Linked DNA regions of Tribolium castaneum. The protein of the gene in region 3 purifies or fractionates together with the protein of the main gene of each other region. This does not show direct contact. Links are inferred from orthologs where the notes say so. Each region holds a gene or a part of one and is shown on either strand. Other genes may lie near its edges.

Region 1 (3,297 bases), on a different chromosome or scaffold from region 3:
TAATTATAATCTAATCTAACTTATTATTTAATATTTATTAACAATTTACTAGTTTTAAATAAATCTACTACAAACTGATGAAAACTAACAGTATTATAAGATTTATAAGCGAGTGAGAATGCAATCTGTAGGTACAAATATATTAAAATGTGGAGTCAAAAACTAAACTGCTCAAAAAAGCGAGAAAATTTTTGCTGGAAGACAAAACTGGTACAATTCAAAGTTTCATAGAAAATGCCTTTGATATTATTTTTCAGGCGGCTGCAGATTTTTTTTTTTTTAGTATATCATTTTTTGATCAGTTTGTTAGTTTGGCAACATGCAAAATTAACTAAAATCTGGACAATGTCGTTACGAGAAGAATATTACACTGATGTTAGGTGTTATGTGCCCAACAAAAATTTTGTTGGCCCACCTATGTGCCCACCCAAAAATTAGGAGCTAGTTCCGCCACTGCAACACTTCCTTCTGCATTATAATATTTATAATCCGCTATTTTTGGTGTATACGTTTCCAAGTTAAATAATCATGATTTGGAAAAAAACGCAAGAATCTATTATAAAATACTGTATTGGAACACATCATTCAACAAAAAATAAATATAACACGAGAAAAACACATTAAAACCTAGTCAAGCACTAATTAATTTTTTTTACCATTAATTTTACTAATCTTGCTCCTTGATATGTTGTCGAAAAATAAAAGTCCAGCCGCCTTTTCAATGCTTTCAGGGGGCACCTAAAACCCATAATTGACCCAAAATTCCTTAATCTAAAAATTTGCAAACCCTAAAACTCGTCAACGGGGTCTCATCACTGATAGCCTGATTGGGCATCACATAAGACTCCATTTCAAATTTTCCGTCACTAGTTTCACAAACCACGACTTTGAAAAAATGCGTCGGGACTGCAACATGATTTGCTCCAATCACTTCATACTTGACGTAATTTTTCCCGTCTGGTTCCCGCCTTTAACAAAAAATAACAATAATCAATTGAAAAAAAAAGAACAGGGCCGGACCTGGGCAAGTATAAAGGTCCAGTGCAGCAGTACACATTAGTGTAAGTCTTCGTCAGCTTCCTCACATATCTCTCCAATTTATTCCACGCGTCTCGATTAAACCCGACCCCCACTTGTGGGGCCATATTCGACAAATAAAAAGTCTGCTCGACCAGTTTTTGGCTGCATTTGTGGTTCCCGGCCGCCGCCAGGTGCCCCCGGTCGTACCCCGACTTCAAGTAATCCGAATTGAGCGACCTGCAACCCCCAAATGAGCCCCCTTCCAACACATTGAACAAACCCAACTCCTGACCTGAAATACGGATGTATGCTTTCGTCCGGCATAAATTGGCACAAAGACCGGTCCACGCCTTCGTTTGGCTTGATACTTTCGGCCGTAATGTGCTCGAAAACCCAGTGAGCCACCCTGTTTCGTTTATCATAACTTAAAACGTAATTATCGAAGGAACGGATATTGTCAAGACCCGGAAACCCGTATTTCATGATTTGCGAAATTCGACTAACATTGGTTTGGGACGGGACGGGTGAGACGGGGGTTGCGGCTGAGACAGTCCCGAAAATCGGAAGTCCCGGGAATTTTTTAAGGTTAGGTGGGTCTTGGGCAATTTTTCGCTCGTAATAACTACCAGCAAGGAAGGAACTTAGGCCGAAGGAGCTCACAAGGGCCAGGGTTTTGATTTTGTGCCCCGCCATCACGTATTTGTTAAAAAAATGCGATATAACGATTATTTTGAGGTTAGGTTCACGGTTACATAACCTCAGTTTTTGATATGTAAATAGTGATGATAAACACTTTTAATGTAGTGATAAGTGTGATAAGACTGTGTAAACAATGGCCGGGAGTTTGGCTGGGAAATTGGCTTTCGTAACAGGTAATTTTTGCAATTTTTTTCCTTTATTTTATTGTGAGGTTATGTAAGGGGCTGGGTCGGGCATTGGCCGGGCAACTTGCGGCATTTTGGCCCGTGAGGGGGCTTCCGTGGTCGCAGCTGACCGCAACTTGGCCAGTTGTAACGAAACTGTGACCAATATCGTACAAGGGGGCTCTCAGAGTCACATCTCGTTAGAGCTGGACGTGGGGGAGCAAAAAAGCATAGAAAGTGCCTTAAAATCGGTGCTCCAACAGTACAAAAAGCCACCTTCAATTATCGTAAATTCCGCTGGTATCACACGCGACGATTTTTTGGTCAAACTGACTGAAAATAATTTTGATGATGTGATCAGGATTAACTTAAAAGTAAAATATAACAAATCGCATTTTGCAAATAAATGTTAGACGAGGGTTTAAGGGCACGTTCATGGTCATTCAGACCTTCGCCAGGGCTATAATCGAGCAGGGGGTGCAAGGGGGCTCTATTGTGAACATTGCCAGTACTTCGGGCAAATATGGTAATCTGGGGCAGGCCAATTACAGTGCGAGTAAGGCCGGGGTTGAAGGTTTGACGAAAACAGCGGCTAAAGAATTTGGGAAATTTGGAATTCGGGTAAATTGTGTTTTACCAGGGATGATAGCGACGCCTATGACGGACGCAGTCCCTGAGAAAGTTAGGGAGAAGAGTCTTAAATTTATCCCTTTGGGCCGGTTTGGCAAACCTGAGGGTATTTTTGATGAAAAAAATTGATGTGGGATTATTTTTTTGGGTTTTAGAGGTGGGAGAAGTTATTGCATTTTTGGCCTCTGATAAAAGCTCATACGTTGATGGGGCCTCTGTTGACATCACTGGGGGAATTTAAAGGTGATTCGGGGGAATTCGGTGATATTTCTTGTTATTTGGATCATACACTTATATTTTTTTAATAAATGTGGAAGTTTTTTTCTTGTTTCTCTTGCCTTCCAATTCTAATCCTTACCTTAGTTTCTTATACTACAACTTGTTTTCCTGAATTTTATAAAAAACTTCAAGCTTCATCGCAATCATCACTACTTCAAAATGTAAGGCGATAGGTTTTAAGTCGAATTTATGATATTTGGCTAATAAGCACCCATTTTGTCAATTACACCAAAGCTATTAGACAAAACTGAAATGTTTTTAATTACTCGTATGTAAGATGATCTGCGGAGTCGATTGGCGATTGGACAATAGTTTTTAAATTATTAATGGAAATAGCTTTGTCATTTTTTTCATTTACGTATTCTTTCACTTCTAAAACCTCTAGAGGGTTCTAAATTCACAGGAAAGTGCATAAAACGTTGTTGAATCGAGTTTGAAAAGATTTTTCATATTTTCGAACTAACTAACTTCGTCTCAATTAAAATCCCTAAAAATTTTCGATCAA
Region 2 (4,407 bases), about 15 Mb from region 3:
AAAAAATCGTCCCTTTTGAATCAATAATTTTTTCGCCGTGCACGGCCGATTAAAATAAATGAGAAGTTTGTTGTGTAAACACGCATCCTCTTGTTTTCCCATTATTTAAAATAAGGTAAACAGACTGGCATTGACCCGAAAACACGATTAAAATTATAACTTTAAATGAAGATTTTTCAACAAAAAATCCAAGAGTCGCACCACCCCGGAAATTTTCACTCACATGTTTATGTAAGCAAATGAGGAAGTAGTAAAAATGAGCGAATATCACTCGAATTAATTCAGAGCCGAAATGCTCGCTCTAATAATTTCACCAAACCCGGGAGAAAGGATGATTATAAATATTGTTGGTGATAATGATTCGTTTCGTGCATAGTAACTATTCAATAAATTAGAATATCTAGATTGTCTACTGAGATGTGCAGTGGAGGTCGCCTTCGAACGCAGTTAATTGATGTTGATTAATACCGCACTCATTAATCGCTTGCAATTTACATAAACCTATAAAGTTTAGGTCGCTAAACCTTCACTTGAAACTTTGTAATTTATCTTCCAATTGTTTCGTCCGAATTGTACCCTTGAACGTTTCAATATTCTTCCGACTACCAAAAAGCACCAAGCACGCGTCTCTGTTTGAATTAAGTGATTAAAACATGATGCAACAAGAAAATCCACAAATGTCGTCACTTGCAATGAGCAGAATCCGGAATGTGTCAAAACAAATATTAATGGTTTGAAGCAAGGACGGTTCGATTGTGAGAAGACGTAAATAAAAACATCGCCGAATTCCAGGAGAGAGGTTACAGTCATTATCGCCTGAAAATCATCGGAAGAATACCGAGAAAAAGGCCACTAGTGAAAAATTAGACTACAAACGGCGGCCGTGACCGAGATAAAAATGTATTAGCGTGTTTCACTGATTACTTGTCAATCTTCCCAGCTTTTATTAAGCGGGTGATTAAATTCAATGCTACCGAATCAAACAATAAAATGCCACAATGTGTATTTTTACCAACAAAGCCAATTATTACAAAATGTCATACAAACACGATCTATAAAATAAAAATGAGCGTCACGTTCGGCGCTCAATGAAAAAAACACGGGCTTAATAAGGAAATTGTACATTGATTAATAAAAAACGAGGCCGAAATCAGAATTAACATAAATTAATCCGAAATTTTTATGAACGGTACGAGAATGTACCGATTTCGTTTTGACACCTGCTTACCGTCTTGCATAATGCGATGAATTAACAATAAATACGCGACCTTCGATATTAAATAACCACTTACTTTATTACATTAATATTGATTTTTGCAGACTCCGGCAGAGCTCAACAAGAGCTGGCACATCCCCAGACCCACACTAGCTAGAAGCTCAAAGAGTTCGCAGGGTTCGACGTCTAGCAATAATAGCACACAGGTACAAATAAAAAAATTAAGACAAGAAAATCATTGGATTTTTAGAGTGCAAGGTCCGGTTCGTTACTACTGACAGCAGCAAATCTGGCCCAAATACAAAATCCGGACACGGACAAAAACACCAGACAACAAAACATTCAGTATTACCTCGAACAAACAAACAACAATGATCACATAGCACTGCCTGTTAACGATTTGAAGAAACCAGACCCAGATGCTGTTTCAGTGGCAAGTTCGATGCATTTTACCGTAGTTAATATGAACACGAGACCTGTGGTCAGGCAAAGAAGTTTCTGTCGAAAACACCAATTGACGATTCTAGTTTTGACGATGTCCGCTTTGTTTACCATAGGGATCTTGGCGGCGATATTTCTCTTAGAAAGTAAGTTCTTCCGCTTTCATTTCAGCCAATTTCCAATTTTTTATTGTTTCAGTGAGGGCGAAAAGACAACGGTACTAGGATTAGGACAAGCATCGACATTTCTCCAAAAATTGACGAAGCATTGAAATGTCGTGCGCACTTATCGTAGTTAGTTATTTAATTCCCTATTTAATTAGGTTTAGCAACTGGACCAAAATTGTGGTTGTTCTAAATCATAAGCTATCCATAAGTATTTTTTGATGTTACTGTGATATGTAAAAGCAATCATTACAGCATTGTATAGTATTTATGAACAATTTTAAGGCAGGTCCCGAACCTCCTTGGAAATCTTGTAAATTGATTTTTAATTAAATTATACAAATAAATTTTCTACAAAACTAAGACTTACCTCAACGTCTTGGAGAGTCTGCGTCCACCTGTACTTGTCCAAATCACATCCATTGCCACTGTTTGGCTTCAATTTCCCAATCTCTGAGGCATCCTCATCCTCTTCAATTTTCTCAACAGCTGGGGCCCCATTACTCACCCCACTTTTCTTAGCATCTAACTCGGCTTGCAACTTTTCAGCCTCAGCATCAGTCAATTCGGTGATTTCCGCCGGTTTTACCTTCTCCTCTTCTTGCTGTTTCTTCTTTTTGGCGGCTTCACGTTCCCGACGCTCTTTTAACTCCGTCTCGTGTTTCTTACGACTAACTTGTTCGTATTTCCTAAATGTGCTCATTACTAACTAAAAACCAGGTCATTATTTTTCGAACTGGCTTTACCCCGGACTACCTTTTCCCATGCTCCTTCCTCGCCCCCGGTGAAAAAATCCGTCTTGCGGCTTAGAAAACTCACAAAAGTGTCCAATAACTACAGTTTTGTCGTGATTTTAAGGTTAGAGTAAACAGATCGAGGCTCACCTGCGAAGCGCCGTGCGGATGGTGCTGGGCTATTGACAGGAAGAGGGAATCGAATTGCTCAGTCTGATTATCATCGCCACTCATCTTGACTGGACTTTTTTCGTGAAAAAATGGTCAAAAATCGTGGAAATTGCTAGACTTTTCTTCTATCGACCAAATATCAATTGTACCAACCAAACCAATCGGCGTGAAAACTTCCAAAAACGGTGCTTGTACCAACATTGATGGGTCAACCGAATGTGGGAATTTTAGCCAAACGGGGACCACCCTCAAATTAAAATTAAAACATGCAAAGGGGGTGTATATTTCGATAGTGCGAAGCTTATTTCCTATTCGTTAAATTTCCCAAGGGTTTATTTTAGCTCTGTTTTTTTTTTGTACCATTGGCGGCACTTTTTTAGTAACATACGTGCTCGATTTTTCAATGGAAGCCAAGAATTGTGTTTTGCGCTTTGTGAATGTGTATTGCGCCAATTTGTGAAATAATCAAACTGATTACGATTTTTTACAAGCCAGAAGTGTAGAGTTCACATTATCGCATTGTTTTTGCCAGTCTCCCGGTGTCCTAATTATCTCACCTTGCAATTACGGAACTGTAAAGTATTTTAGGTTATGTTAAACTACCTCATGCCCTTTATTTTATAACGTTTTGAGCCAATAATGTCGGAAAACAGCAATTCGACTTCTGTTATGTCAGAAGTCACAACTCTGATAAGAAACTGGGAAGATGAACATACGGCGCCTAATTATGACCCCATTCAGACACTCACCAGGTAGATCTTGCCTTAATTTGGCAAATTCTTACCCTTTTGTTGGCAGATTGGCCGAAATATGCGAGGTGGAGACTGAAAATTACCTGAAAATGGATCCTGACCCATTTGATGAACGCCACCCTTCACGAACTGATCCTGACTGCAAACTTGGCCAAATTTTAAAAGCGCTTTTTAGGAAGGATATTTTTATGAACAAAGTATTAACTCTCCACAAAAACATAAAAAGACACACATAAATATTTTTTCAGCTTGTTAACGATTATTTGAGAGAAACGTACTACTCTCGGTCAGGAATCACAGACAAGGATGTTGATCAGTTGAATATTGCAGCTTGTAGGTTGATGCTAGACGTAATGCCTGGCTTAGAGACATCAGTGGTGTTTCAAGTACGTGTCAATTATTTTTTTGGGGGGAAAACTAACGACTAGTTTCAGCCCGATATGGATAATTTGATTCACCGTTTAATTAAATGGACTACAAATTCAATAGAACCTCTGCAAAGTTACGCAACGGGGCTTTTAGCTGCTGCAATGGAAATTCCAGAAATTGCCACACGTTTTAGGTAAGTTTCCGCTTTGGTCTTATCGCAGTTAATTACCAAAAAATAGGGAACAAAACGGACGACTTGTGCCTTTACTACTTCAAAGACTGCGTAGGCTTCAAAATTCCTCGGAATTTTTGACCACGACAAATACTCGACCTTTTGCACACTTATCTTCAATGAAGTCGCCCCCTTATCGCGGTGACGGTGTCGTAAAAGTTTCACCCTCTGGTATTAAAAGGCGTACGTAACGACACCCTATTGTATTTTACCCTTCAATAATTATTCTTACAGCCCGCGAGAATGGAGTTATTCCAAATTCGAAAACAACACTTAATAAAGAAAACACTGATGTGATTAACACTAGTGAGGTAAGCGCGCCTTTTCC
Region 3 (2,766 bases):
GAGCAGAAGAAAAAATATAATAAACAAAAATGAAAACACAATTGTGTTAAGACTTGTAGACTCTTACTTTATATCTTCCTTGATTGGAACACTCGTTTGTCGCAACAGCTTTCAACATCTACACTTAATGGTCTAAGTGCAAGGTGCTAATACAATCAGAAGATCAAACAAACTTACCAAGTGAAGTTCGATCTTGATTATATGTAGCACCTTGTACGAAGATCAGTCCCTCCCATCCCCGTGGTTTACCACTTCACCCTAAAGTTGCGACAATTGACTTTACAAAGAATGAGCGCATGCGTGGGAATATACCGGGAGTTATAAAAATTTTGTTTTACTGGCTTGATACATGTGTGAATTTGTCCAAATAGAAAGGGTACTACACTTAATGATCTTCGTACAAGGTGCTACATAATCATCAATAAATATTTTCACTTTACATGAGGAAAGCCGTAGCATTTACTAAGCAGCTAAGTTTTTACTTTATTTAAAAGGTATTACAGAGTAAATGTTTCTACAAAAACAAAGTTTTATTAAGAGAAGTTACATCTTTATTAACATTTTCCGTTAATACTCGTACATGTACAAATTTTAACAATCTGTACTTTGCAATGTAAATTTGTCCGTAAATGAATTAAATCAAAACCAGGCATTTTCTTTATTACAACAAACAATTTGATGTTTGGAAATAAAAGTGGCATTAATAATATTCTCTAAGAAGGTAAAAGAATAAATAAAAAATATACAATTAGGTACGACAAAAAATTAACGGATAGTATAATTGATCTACAGATATAAATCCTTATTTAGAAAGCTGCAGAGCAACACTGCGAAAATAGTTCTATTGATGTGCGCACTGTATGCCCGGTCCATGCATGTGATCCTCGTCGTCGCTCGCATACGCTTCCCCTCTGCTTCCATGCGCCCCCTTGTCATTCGCCGAATCGAAATGATGCAAGTCAACTTCTTCCACGTTTTCGCCTTCAGGCATTTGAAAGACGGGCCGCGGCGGCAGCATACTCTCTAATGATTTGAGGGTCTTCTCGTCTGCGAAATTACTCTCCGGGAATGTGATTTCGAAGGTGATATAGAGATTTCCCTTTTCGAAGGGATTTTTGTACATGGGCATACCTTCGCCCATCACTGCTTTCAAATCGCCTGGTTTCACAATGTCCCCTGGTGGGTGTTTGATTAACAAATCGCGCCCGTCCAACTGGCGCAACACGAAACTGAAGCCACAGAGAGCTTCCGTCAGACTAATGGTGCGATTCATGAGCAAATCGTCGCCGCTTCTTTGGAACGTTTCATGGGATTTCTCGTTAAGTATGATGATGACATCGCCGGGTTCGATGTCGGGCTGTTGGTCGCCCTCGCCACGGAAGAAGATTTTCTGACCGTCTTTCATTCCTTTGTCGATGTGGACCTCGAGGATTTTCGTCTCGTTACAAACCTGAGTAGAACAACAATTTAAAACGCCTTCAAATCAAAATTTTGGAGAATTACGAAAAGGTTACCTAAAATGGTATACTGTGGTAAAACAGGATACCCTAATTATTTTGTAGTACATGCAAAGCAATCTGTTGTGTAATTGACCTAATACTTCCTGACAGTATGAATTTGCAATTTGACCATCATTAGTGCAATACCGCAACGTGGATCTTTAAGTTTTTAACATATTTTTGTAAAAGTTTAGAATTAAAAACATAAGCTTTTTGTATTTAAGAACAATAAGATGACGGTGATAAGTTTTTTATCAGTTACTAAAACATAAACGGCCATTTAACGTTCGAAATTTGAAGTTTTTCTTATAAGAAAAATATGAAATTGTCATTTAATTCGTATTGAGAATAAAATAATAATGAAAATTTTACTGTTATTTGTTGATTCCAAGAGTTGACTCGAATACAACTACTTAAAAGATCTGATGTTTCTAATAAATTTAACCGTCTAAACCCGTACGCTCGGTATTTTAGTTGATGGTTAAAGTAAAAATATTCTGGTTACCAATTAATTTCCAGGTTTGGCGTATTTCAGTGTTTGGTTATGATTTACCCAAGGTTAAAATTTTTACCGAAGGAAACGTGTCGGGTTACCAATTTGTTTCAGGGTTAGTCAAACTGTAGCAACGAGAGTATTCGGAAATAAAATTAACTAGACGCCCTCTGGTGATGACTTTTGAACTATGTCGAAAACAGTAAAGAAATTTTCGTAATGCCACATTTAACTGACATTTAATGAATTGTTCAACAATTTTGCGTGTATAGTGTTAATTATTTACAATAGAAAGAATTATTTTAAAAGTACGTGGTGGTAAATACTAGCGTTGACTTTGGTTCTGTAGTTTTTCGTGGTATAAAGTGTTTACTGTTGGAACTTGAAAGTGGATAAAAAGTGAAAAATATTTAAATTTTGATTACAAAGTGTTATCAAACAGTTGTCTAATCAATGATTATTAGTAATGGATCACAGCGAACACAAAGTTTGGCTCAAGAAACCAATAAATTAGTGAAGTGTTACGAATTTTAGGTTAGAATTTTCCACTGAAAAAATCATGAAATGCTGCGGTAAATCTACAAAACTACAATAAAGATTAACAACTTCTGATACATTTAAACGTAAGTTATGCCAAAAGGTAGGCTTTTCAATGTCTTTGTAATAATTTTCCAATAAAGAAAGTGAACCAAACAGTCATTCGTTATTCGTGTTTTCCTCGTCATCTCTCATTTGTCAACATACGTTTCTTGCATCAAAGATGCAATAATCATT

What was found.
Region 1: the proteins of dnaJ homolog subfamily A member 2 (region 3) and EndoG purify together in Homo sapiens (affinity purification with mass spectrometry; 3 studies listed by BioGRID and IntAct, with this or other methods). This does not show direct contact. The link is inferred for Tribolium castaneum from reciprocal best matches to the Homo sapiens genes DNAJA2 and ENDOG.
Region 2: the proteins of dnaJ homolog subfamily A member 2 (region 3) and nudC purify together in Homo sapiens (affinity purification with mass spectrometry; 4 studies listed by BioGRID and IntAct, with this or other methods). This does not show direct contact. The link is inferred for Tribolium castaneum from reciprocal best matches to the Homo sapiens genes DNAJA2 and NUDC.

Annotation. Positions count from the first base shown.
Region 1 is NC_087400.1:7,676,635-7,679,931, forward strand, and holds EndoG (endonuclease G, mitochondrial), read right to left. Parts: upstream 1,714-3,297; coding exon 1,313-1,713; intron 1,258-1,312; coding exon 1,021-1,257; intron 969-1,020; coding exon 788-968; intron 739-787; coding exon 643-738; 3' UTR 553-642; downstream 1-552. Other genes in the region: estradiol 17-beta-dehydrogenase 8, read left to right, coding at 1,853-1,892, 1,941-2,257, 2,310-2,619, 2,669-2,754. UniProt on the Homo sapiens protein: Endonuclease that preferentially catalyzes the cleavage of double-stranded 5-hydroxymethylcytosine (5hmC)-modified DNA.
Region 2 is NC_087398.1:987,696-992,102, reverse strand, and holds the start of nudC (nuclear migration protein nudC), read right to left. Parts: upstream 2,898-4,407; 5' UTR 2,790-2,897; coding exon 2,706-2,789; intron 2,656-2,705; coding exon 2,578-2,655; intron 2,531-2,577; coding exon 2,192-2,530; intron 2,185-2,191; exon of another isoform or gene 1,882-2,184; coding exon of another isoform or gene 1,856-1,881; intron 1,804-1,855; coding exon of another isoform or gene 1,467-1,803; intron 1,423-1,466; coding exon of another isoform or gene 1,321-1,422; intron 1-1,320. Other genes in the region: uncharacterized protein LOC656652, read left to right, coding at 1,321-1,422, 1,467-1,803, 1,856-1,881; mahj (protein mahjong), read left to right, coding at 3,366-3,478, 3,525-3,675, 3,727-3,864, 3,913-4,040, 4,087-4,262, 4,314-4,390. UniProt on the Homo sapiens protein: Plays a role in neurogenesis and neuronal migration. Necessary for correct formation of mitotic spindles and chromosome separation during mitosis. Necessary for cytokinesis and cell proliferation.
Region 3 is NC_087398.1:15,888,409-15,891,174, reverse strand, and holds the end of dnaJ homolog subfamily A member 2, read right to left. Parts: intron 1,451-2,766; coding exon 842-1,450; 3' UTR 512-841; downstream 1-511. UniProt on the Homo sapiens protein: Co-chaperone of Hsc70. Stimulates ATP hydrolysis and the folding of unfolded proteins mediated by HSPA1A/B (in vitro).